Linked DNA regions of Yarrowia lipolytica. The protein of the gene in region 3 interacts with the protein of the main gene of each other region in a pairwise test. Links are inferred from orthologs where the notes say so. Each region holds a gene or a part of one and is shown on either strand. Other genes may lie near its edges. The genes, in order: YALI1_A02974g, YALI1_C05423g and YALI1_B28744g.

Evidence for each region.
Region 1: the proteins of YALI1_B28744g (region 3) and YALI1_A02974g interact in a two-hybrid assay, tested with the Saccharomyces cerevisiae proteins (2 studies listed by BioGRID). The link is inferred for Yarrowia lipolytica from reciprocal best matches to the Saccharomyces cerevisiae genes LAS17 and LSB6.
Region 2: the proteins of YALI1_B28744g (region 3) and YALI1_C05423g interact in a two-hybrid assay, tested with the Saccharomyces cerevisiae proteins (4 studies listed by BioGRID). The link is inferred for Yarrowia lipolytica from reciprocal best matches to the Saccharomyces cerevisiae genes LAS17 and LSB1.

The regions. Positions count from the first base shown.
Region 1 is NC_090770.1:295,290-299,044, forward strand, and holds the start of YALI1_A02974g (uncharacterized protein), read right to left. Parts: upstream 2,191-3,755; coding exon 1-2,190. Other genes in the region: YALI1_A02977g (uncharacterized protein), read left to right, coding at 2,474-2,498, 2,542-2,732. UniProt on the Saccharomyces cerevisiae protein: May play a role in endocytic and/or exocytic pathways.
Region 2 is NC_090772.1:540,893-543,926, forward strand, and holds YALI1_C05423g (uncharacterized protein), read right to left. Parts: upstream 1,497-3,034; coding exon 579-1,496; downstream 1-578. Other genes in the region: YALI1_C05494g (uncharacterized protein), read right to left, coding at 2,038-3,034. UniProt on the Saccharomyces cerevisiae protein: Involved in resistance to EDTA.
Region 3 is NC_090771.1:2,873,344-2,876,699, reverse strand, and holds YALI1_B28744g (uncharacterized protein), read right to left. Parts: upstream 2,244-3,356; coding exon 537-2,243; downstream 1-536. Other genes in the region: YALI1_B28766g (uncharacterized protein), read right to left, coding at 48-60; YALI1_B28735g (uncharacterized protein), read left to right, coding at 3,175-3,356.

The DNA.
Region 1 (3,755 bases), on a different chromosome or scaffold from region 3:
TCCCACGTCATTGATAGGCGAGTCTGTGTTGTTGTTATCAGCTACTCTCAGCGGACGGCTGGTGGCATTCTCACTGATGAGCTCGTCCCACAGACTCTGACGTCTTCCGTGGCGCTTGGAAAATGCAACGGCGTTCTTCTTGGTGGGACTAGAACACTCGAGCTCTCTATACCTGGCCTCCAGACTGAGCGAGGAGCCCTTGGAAGGCCGCAGTTTCTGATTAGGAACCGTAGCTGGCGCAGTAGAGGGTCCTGCTGAAGACGAAGCGTTGTCGTAGGAGGATAGGAGTGGAACCTGGTCGCTATTGAGGCTCTGATTTTTGTTTGGCGACACAGACAACGAGTTGAGAGCAGGCAACAACATGTTCTCGTCAACACTGGATTGCCGGGAATGCATGTTCGATGGAGTGGAAGCTCTGTTCAGCAGAGGGGTTCCAATAGCTGAGTTGAGTGTTTCGATAGGAATTCGAACGGGAATGTCCATCTCTCCGTCCCAAATCAGCACCTTGTCTCTCCGGGCAAGCTCTAGAGGGCCCTGGTCATGAGACTTGAGCGTTTCAACGACGTTGAAGGCCTGACCTTTCATCACAGCCCACTGTTTTTTCCACATGCGCTCCCGGAAGTCGGGGTCGACACTGAAAAGGTCTCGGAACTCCACGTAGGTCTGTTCCCACCATCGGGGAGATGTCAAGAGCGGCAAGAAGTGCTCTCTTGTTTCTCTGGAGAATGGCTGACCGATAAGTTCTAGCGGAAGAAAGAGCCAGCCAAACGGATACGATCTCCATTCATCAGGGTGCTTCCAGGGCCACGAAAGACCCGAATCAATGGCTCCTATCTTGAGTCGAGGCACCTTGATAGGAGAATGAGAAGAGTGGGGTGTGGCACCTCGTGAAGGGGAGCCCTGCGAGTGATATTGCGGATGGGCTGACGAAGCATCCACCCACTCCAGCTTGATCATCCAATTGTCGAGACCTCGATCTGTGTTTCGCATAATGTAGTCGAGAATCACGAGCTTCTCGAGCTCCAAACGAAACTGTTTTTGAACGGCAGGGGTCCAAATGTCCGACTCCGATGCAGCTCCGTACTGCTGACGTCGTTTGTCGGGCCAGGGATGCTTTCTAAAAAACACATCGGCCTCCTCGTAGTTGTGCAGAAACAGTTGGAATGAGCCAGGCTTTCGTGGCAGTAGACGAGCGTCATTTTTGGCCCGTCGACGTTCAAAATATCGATAGTAGAATGTTGGGGAGGAGAGATAGACAATCTCTGTATGAGGGACGATTCCCGTCTGCAGTCTGCGGTCCAATAGCGATGCCGCGGCCTCACAAATGTATCCGGTGTTTGGAATGAGACAGGAGCGTCCAAAGAAGCATGGGAACAAGTTTCGGTGTAGCCATTTGGTCCATTTCGGAGACAGAGGTCCATATGGCTCTTCGTCCTTTGGTTTAAATACACCCACAACTTCATGGTGTTCATTGTAGGCAAAGTAGCTGCCACTGGAGCCCTGTGCGATGAGTCTGGGAAAGATTCCGTGCGAAATGGCCTCGATCACCGACTCAATGACTTCTCCGAAATGCACCGCTGAGTTGTAATCTTCTTCGGAGGTATCGAGAATTTGTCGGGACTCGAATTCTGGCAGGTTTTTGAAGACGGAGTAGTAGATTTCGACTGCCCGTTCCTGTGCGGGGTTGCGGTCTGGTCGTCGCACAGGAAATGCTGTAGATAGTTTTCGTCCGATTCGAGAGAAAACACCCATCCATGTGGACGATCCCGAGGCGAGCGAGTCTCGATCCGAGTTGTTTTGCTGGTTGGACTCGAGATCCACAAAATGCGTCAACTGATCAGGCGTCTTGAACTCATTAGGAACCAGCTGGGTACCGGGAGTACCCCAATGATGGGCTGGTGTAGAAGTCTTGGGAGACAGATCGGAGGCATTAGGCATTTGCGGAGAGGGCATCAGGTCCTTGGTGACCACCGACAAGCGTCCTGACTGGATCCCCAGAGTTCGGTGTGTTTCGTTGTTGCTTATTCCCTCCTCAGTGTATTCTGCCGACTGAGCGGCTTCCCGATCGAGACTAGCTAGTCGGTCGTAGCCAGATTTGAACACTCTGTCTCCGTCGGTGACGTCGCCGTTGGAAGCCGCCCCGTTGGAGCCTCCACTCGTCGGCCTCGTCGCTTTCTTCGTTGGTGACATGTTGCAGATGTATCACAACCGGCAGTAACAAGGCGAGTGATATTGTAGTCTCCGGAAATTCGTGAGGGTGGGGGACGCTTGTGTATGCAGTGCCGTGAATTTGTCGAATATCAGTCCTCGAGCCGTCTCGGTGAAGGTGTATCTAAGTGCTTGGTACCACCTTCTCCTGCTCCGGTTGACAATTATATGCACCACCCTGCGGCCTGGGTGTATCCAAAAGTTAACTTTTTTGGCGTGTTTGGACATGTGATCTGGGGGCTCAAGGGCTAATAAACAGCTATATATGTGCACGTGTGTGGCTGACAGCCGTGTCGAGGACATGTGTCCCGCTCAGGAGATCAATTATATAAGCGGTTTCATATAAATGGCTGCTCCAATCACGCTATCGCACTAGCGAGGCCCTCCCTCATTTCTCCTTACACCGCATGACGTCGGTTGCTGAACGCCACACTAAGACTGCCTGTATTCGCCACCTGGGGTCTCCAGCTGCGAGAAAAGACCGCCAGCGACGGCCAAAAGGGTCGTTTTTTCGATTAATTTGATTTTGGTGCCTTCAGCGTCCCTTGTGGCGCCTGCAAGGGACCCGTGAATTGTAACTCGCTCGGAACTCAGGGGTGCCAAGCCGCTAGCCTAGAGGTTAGCCGTGCCCTAAAAGTGCATTGATTGAGTGGGTATGTCAGGTTAGGCTTGGAAAGTCCCTAGAATAATAAATAAAAAACATGTCTGTTTCAGGCAATATTTATTTGGCAAGTGGTAGTATAAGTTGACTGATTGATGCAGACGTCCCTGTTATTTGATTCAGACATTTGGGTATTTGATTTGTGATGTCTCCTACTCTACCATATCAATTGAAAATGGTCGAAGGCTCTACTCTTAACAACAGCATAATATCCTCAAGTAATTCTCTGTTAAACTCCGACACGTTCCTCCACTTTACTTGGGTAGTAGTTAACATTATTGGCGATCACATACAGTACATACGATCCTGTGCTAACATACTCGTAACACGACTGCAAGCTGCTCTGAAATCAGAACGAGTCACTGGAGCCAAGGGGAAGTCGTTCTAGCCGTAGGTGGCAGGTGGAAGGTCGCATATCACAGATTAAGATGGCGAGGTGAGAACAATCTGATCCTGTGCTTGGCTTCGTACCTACTGGAGTGCAACTGTCACCGACGGACTCATCGACACGCGCAATTGTACAAGCACCGGTGCCGTACGAGCGATAAGGTGTCACTCAAATGGTCGAAACAGACGAATTTGTGGAGCTTACCCCGCCAGAGATGACTTCCTTGAGAAGGTACTCTCGGATCTGTGAACAAGGCGAACTGATGCTGACTTTTCTATGGCTCTATGACACTATGATGTCATTCACTCGACTATAATTACATGAATGGTCAAAACACGGCCACCTTCGTTGTGTATACTGGCTTACTTCTTACAAATCATGACTAAATGTTGAGATTAGAGCCCATATTCAAAGGGGAGAAGATAGGGGGTGTCTAGTGAATTCCTCTGCGGTACTGTACGGATGTAACAATTTGAACAACGGCGTTTCAAGACCCCA
Region 2 (3,034 bases), on a different chromosome or scaffold from region 3:
ATAGCCCATTCAGCGCTCCAAACACTCTTTAGTTGCTTGGTAAAGCTTTCAAATTGGGGATTCTCTTTCTCCAAGCGAAGTTCCGAGGAATTATCAATCAGCTTTTCTTTTTCGCATTTTCTGGACTCTCAAATACACTCCTTCGTATATCTATGCACAGTGACGTGACGGCGTGGGGGCCAAATCAAAAGAGTGTGCAGGCAGCAACAGACTAGACCATACAACACAATAACAAACAATGGTACAAGTAGACGCCATGACCATGTTCCTATGACAACAGTCAGTCAACTCCACCTACGAACGCGTTTCGTACAAGTACAGTACGAGTTCAAGTAGTCGCACAGCCCACGATTTACCTCAAGATTGGACCCACAAGAACGAGCCAAACTTAGGAAGCTCGGGAGGGTTCAGATCTCCATGTTCCGCACGTCTCGCTCATGCCTGATCGATGCAGGTCTGTAACCTCCCTCTGATTGAGAATGGAGTCCCAGATGGTTAATTAGCTCACTTTAAGAGCCTGGCAATGGTCTGTCAACAGACTAGGCAATAAATATATTCTCTATGACGTTACTTCGTGATTAAAAGATAGAATTGATGAGGTCTCCACCAAGGGTAGCTCCAGCACCAAAGATGGCTGCGTTTCCAAACTTTGAACCAATGCTCTTGAGATGGCCTCCGCCACCCTGATGCTGCTGGCCCTGCTCCACAACCACAGTCTGCGGAGGAGGGGGCTGGTAGTATTGCTGCTGCTGCTGGCCCTGGTAGCCTTGGGGAGGAGGAGGTTGGTACCCTCCCTGGTATCCCGGGGGAGGTGGGGCCTGGTAGCCATACTGCTCTGGGGGAGGGGGGTTGTACTGTGTGGGAGGAGGAGGGTTGTAATGGGCGGCGGGAGCGGCGTAGTCCGGCTGCTTGTAAGAAGGGTAGGCCGACTTCTCGGACTTCTCCTCGTTCACGGCCAAAGAGGACACCGTGGGAAGAGTGGTGGTGGAGCTTGCCGCAGCCACAGACGATACAGTGCTCTGGGATCGGCTCACGGGAGGAGGAGCCATGTAGGGAGTATCAGACAGTTCCTTGACGTAGTTGGCAGGGAAGATTCCCTCCTTGCCACTGGGGCCTCGGCCCTTCCACCAGTCGTTGTTCAGCTTCTCGATGATGTCAATCTGGTCGCCCTTGACAAGAGCCAGGTCGGTGGGGTCCTGTGCGACGTAGTCATAGAGAGCCTCCACCTTGCCACCTGAACCAGCAGAGGCAGGATGAACAGCAACGGGAGGGGAGGGGGCAGCAGGGGTGATTTGAACAGCTGCAACCCGCTCAGTCACCTCGGCAATGCCAACAACTTGAGAACCAGGCAAGTCCAGCTTCTGACCAGGTGTCAGCTTTCGAGGGATCTTGTTGCAAATATCGTCATAAAGAGCCTGGGAAATCACCTCGGACTCAAACAGAAACTCCAGCTCGTTGTGGAGCGAAGTCACACTTCGGTTGATAACTGCCGCCATCGTAAAAGTGATGTAAAAAAACGCTAGCGTGTGCTGTGTAGCGTGGAAAGGGTGGGAGTGCAAGAGTACAAGTGGCCGAGAGATGGGTTATTATATGTACACTGTAGCCTAATAATTTTAGCACAGCCACTCTGATGGTGTATAAAAATCTGCGTGAATTTCCATAACACGTGACCGGCAATAAAACCAAGAAACACAAACAGAGCAGCAAATATATAAATCGTGTTTTTGGCCATCCTCCAGACAGGCGAGGGTCCCTGACGTACCGGGCTTCTAGAACCTCGAGACCCAGAATTTCAAAATACATAGAGTTCAGTACACTTCTTAATCTTGCATAGCCCTACTCGTCTTTACGACCGAGCTCAATAAACTATCAAGCAAGGCATTGTACTTATTGGAGACTACAACTACAAGTACAGTAATACTTGTACAATAAATGTACATATAAATATAATAATAAAAGGAACAAGATTTTTTATACAAAGAATTCATTAACAATTGACAATTTTAAGAGGTAGAAACCAATAGCTAGCTAACTAGCTTAGAAAAGAACAACCAAAATAACCATGCCCATCATACCAGCAGAGACACCATAAGTCTTCGCAGAGTTGGCCTGGGGAGGCAGGGTCTCACCACCAGGCGACTGGGGAGGTGCTTCACCTTCAGAGCCGGAGCCAGAGCCGGAGCCCTCAGAGCCAGAGCCAGAGCCGGAGCCCTCAGAGCCAGAGCCAGAGCCGGAGCCCTCAGAACCTGAACCAGAGCCAGAGCCAGAGCCGGAGCCCTCAGAACCTGAACCAGAGCCAGAGCCAGAGCCGGAGCCCTCAGAACCTGAACCAGAGCCAGAGCCAGAGCCGGAGCCCTCAGAGCCAGAGCCAGAGCCAGAGCCGGAGCCGGAGCCCTCAGAACCTGAACCTGAACCTGAGCCAGAACCAGAGCCGGAGCCCTCAGAACCTGAACCAGAGCCAGAGCCAGAGCCGGAGCCCTCAGAACCTGAACCAGAGCCGGAGCCCTCAGAGCCTGAACTAGAGCCGGAGCCCTCAGAGCCTGAACCAGAGCCAGATCCGTTCGAACCACCATCAATAGCACCACCGCCACCAAGTGTAGAAGTAGACATGGTAGTGAGAGGCTGAGAGGCGCCTGACAAGTTGGTGGTAGTAGGAAGTGGGCTGATAGTGCCGGAAAGATCCTCAGAAGCCAAACCTGTGGCAGTTGCCGAGCCAGTAACATCAGGAACCAGGCCAGTAACAGTAGCGGTGCCAGTAGCAGTAGCGGATCCAGGAATGTCTTCAGAGGCAAGACCTCCACCACCTCCAGAAGAAGATGTGATCTGAGATTCAACGGAAACAGTACCAGTTGCAGATGTAGCAGTGGGGACCTCAAGGGTGGCAGAGTCCAGTTCTCCAGAGTTGATTCCAGAGCCTTCTGTCGAGATGGGGACAGTGGCAGTAGAACCATTGTCACCAGTGAATGTAGGGGTAGATCCAGACGTGATGCCCGACTGCTCACCAAATGTAGGAACAGCACCGGACGTGGAACCA
Region 3 (3,356 bases):
GTTTATTGGATTGTCTGAAGTGAAGACAAAGGACATCCAAATTGCACGGTCAGAGAACATAAACAAGCAACAAGAAATTAATACTTGTAGTGTTCACTGTAATAAAGCACGTGACTCGACCACCGTCACGTGACACAAAAGACGTGCTTCAAAACGGTAACTGAATCAGACTATTAACTATCAATCGTAGATGTTCAATAGATGCTATGAAGCATTGGATCCACGATAGCAGAAGACGGTGTGACCGCGTCTACCAATTATACACCATGTCTATGGACAACATACTCGCTTTGCTCGTAGCCCCATCGTTTCATCTGTTAATTACATAGTCATTATACTACCAGTCATCACCGTCGGACTCGTCGTCAGACTTACTGACCTGGCCCTTTCGTTTATTAAGAGCCGAGGCCAGGGCGTCTGCCAGCGAGTTGCCACCGCCAGGAGCTCCCGGGGCAGCCGAAGGAATGGTAGGGCTCTCTCCACGAGCCTCCTGCAGCATGACCGAAGGTCTATCAAGTTGCGACTTGTCCACCTTCTTAAGAGAGCCGATTCCACCAGCAGCTGTGATAGACGACAGCAGCGCGTCTCGACCAGCGTCTCCGGTAGGAGGAGGAGGAGGACCAGGAGTGACTCCAAAGTCTCCAGAAGGGGGGGAGGGGGAGGAGGACCTCAAGACATGGCTGGGGGAGGACCGGGGGGAGGAGGGGAGCAGCAACTTCCAAAAGAAGGGAGCAGCCACAGGAAGAAGGCGGAGGGGGTGGAGGAGGTCCACCAGCTGCAGCAAGTTCAGGGCGGGGGGGCGGAGGGGGGAGGAGGAGGGGCACACACCTCCAGGAACTCCAGGAACAGGTCTCGACTGAGGCCGGGGGACGGAGGAGGAGGAGGAAGAGTGTATGAGGCTCTGAGTCTGCCGCTGGAGAAGAGCTGCTGCAGGGAGGGGGAGGGGGTGTGTATGCAGTTTGGGGCAAGCAGCAGGGGGGGGGAATTGGCCGATCTGGAGGGAGGAGGAAGGAGGTTTCGATTAGAGGAGTGGCTCCGTCTCTGGGTGGAGGAGGGGGAGGGGGTCCTCCTGCTGCCGGGGTTCCTCCTCGTGCCGGCAGAGAGGGGGGAGGGGCAGGCACAGCTCGTCCAGGAAGTTCTGGAGGAGGAGGCACCGATCGTCCTGGTAGTGCAGGGGGCGCTGGCGAACCACGAGAGGGCAGCGACGGCGGCAGCGACCGTCCTGGAAGCGCTGGTGGGGCTGCTGCTGCTGTTGGAGAGGCTGGAGTTGCCGCAGGAGGCGGAGCACCTGCGTTTTTGCCCATGAAAGATGGGGGAGGCGGCACATTGAACCGTCTGGGGGGTGCTACAGCAGCTGGTGGGTCGGAGGGAGCAGCAGGGGTGGCCGGCAAGTCGGGCTCTGGAGTGCTAGAGTAGCTAGGGGGAGCCGAGGCCGGCGGGGGAGGAGGAGCTGCTCTTCTGTCGTTGTTTTGGGTTGATTCAGCAGCAGCAGCTGGGGGAGGAGGCGGTGGGGGTTTTCGGGCATTGGTATCAGCCGAAGAAGAAGTGGCATTACTCGTGCTTCGTCCCCGGCCTCTGTTTCGAGGGATTGGAGGTTCCAGACCCACCAGAGGACCTCCCGTCTGTCGAATGTGTTCCTTGATGAACTCGGTGTTATCGGCAATCATCTCCGGAGTGATTCCCTGCTCCTCCAACTCTCTGTACAGCGCTCGCCATTCTTCCGGCGGCTCGTCGTCGTAGTAGACGGGTCCCGAGTATCCCAGTCGAGTACGGGGTTCTCCTCTGGGTCCCACGGCAGCCTTTTCTGCTGGAGCGGCCTTTTTCAGCGCAATGGCGTTCTTGTTTTTGACCGTATCCTTGCTGGCGTACTTTTCTCTGTTTTGGATCCGCTTGAACAGGTGAGCGGCCTCGGACTCGTCTTCAAACAGAAAGCCTGCAAAACAGTCCTCCAGCTCCACCGAGTGAAAAAACGTTCTGTCCTGGAAGTAGTTGACGCCAACATACAGCTCCTGGTCCCAGAGCACGCCTCGCGACCCGTGGATGTCAATGAGCTTCAGAAACAGAGTGTGGCCCACAAGATCGTCCACCAGAGCTAGCGCTCCAGACAGCCCGGTGTACTGCCAGTTATCAGGGTCCGGGTAGGCAATGTAGAGACGTGCGATGGTGCAGTCAATCACCTTGTTGGTGTTTTTCGGCACCACTCGCTTGATTTTCTCCTTGTCCGCCGAGTTGAGAAGACCCATGGTGGTGTGTGTGGATGTTGCTGATGGAGATAGAGTGTGCTGTGGGAGTGCATGCGTGGAGGACCCGTGTGTTAGTAAGCAACCATGGAAAAGTGCGGTAATTTCTTAGTTGAACGTATAAGAGTGGTACTGAAGCTGCGGTGAGTGTGAATCCATCTTCTGTTTTTTTCAACCTCAACTACAATCTGTTTTATATGCTACGTTATCCGCCCCCTCTCTCATGTACACATTCAGATGCCACCTAAATGGCTCACAGTGGTGGTATCTCCATGGACTCGGAGTTAAGCTGTTCCCAACGGCGATTTTCAGAGTGCATCAATACAACATGTACAGGCTACAACCGGGTGGAGGTGGGGGGGGGGGGGGGGGGGATATAAGCCGGGTCACGTGTGACATTGCATATCGGCCCATCCACCTTGAGCTTTCATCACGTGACCACACCACGGGACCATAATCTGGGATATCCCAAACCCAACATTCCATACTGTTCTATGAGTCGGTTGTATAATGGAGTGGAGGGTGGCAGAAGTACAGCACGTGCAAGTAGCGGGATTACATGGGTGAATGGTGATTTTGACATGGGGAATATGGACGAAAAATTTGGGCCTGATTTCCATATCACAAAGCGTGCGGCTGACCTGTCTTCTCATTTTCCGAATGCTTTCGGTCTGACGTCACTGCTATTGAACTAATGAAAGCAAGATTGTTAATTATAAGCTCCACAGTTATTATACCTGCTCTACTACCGCGCTTGTACATCTTTACTCCAAGGTCTGAAGAAAAAAAAATTGGCCTTGAGGAGTCAGCACTACTTTGCACCATTACACGGCAGAGGTGACTGACTGGACATATAAAGAGCACTCGACACACGGCACGCATATCCACTTACTCACAACGCCACCAACCAAGGTACAGAAGACAAACACTGAAGATGAGCGAAAACAACGGGCCTCCTGATCCGGCCCGGGACGCGGTGGCGCAACTATTGCGGAGCGCTCTGCGTCGAAATCTGGACGTCCAGCACAACAGAGAGGTGGTTCAGGAGTACATGGACCGGCTTCTGAATGGAGATGGTACGAACACAGACGCAGCGCCAGGAGACACAAATGCAGC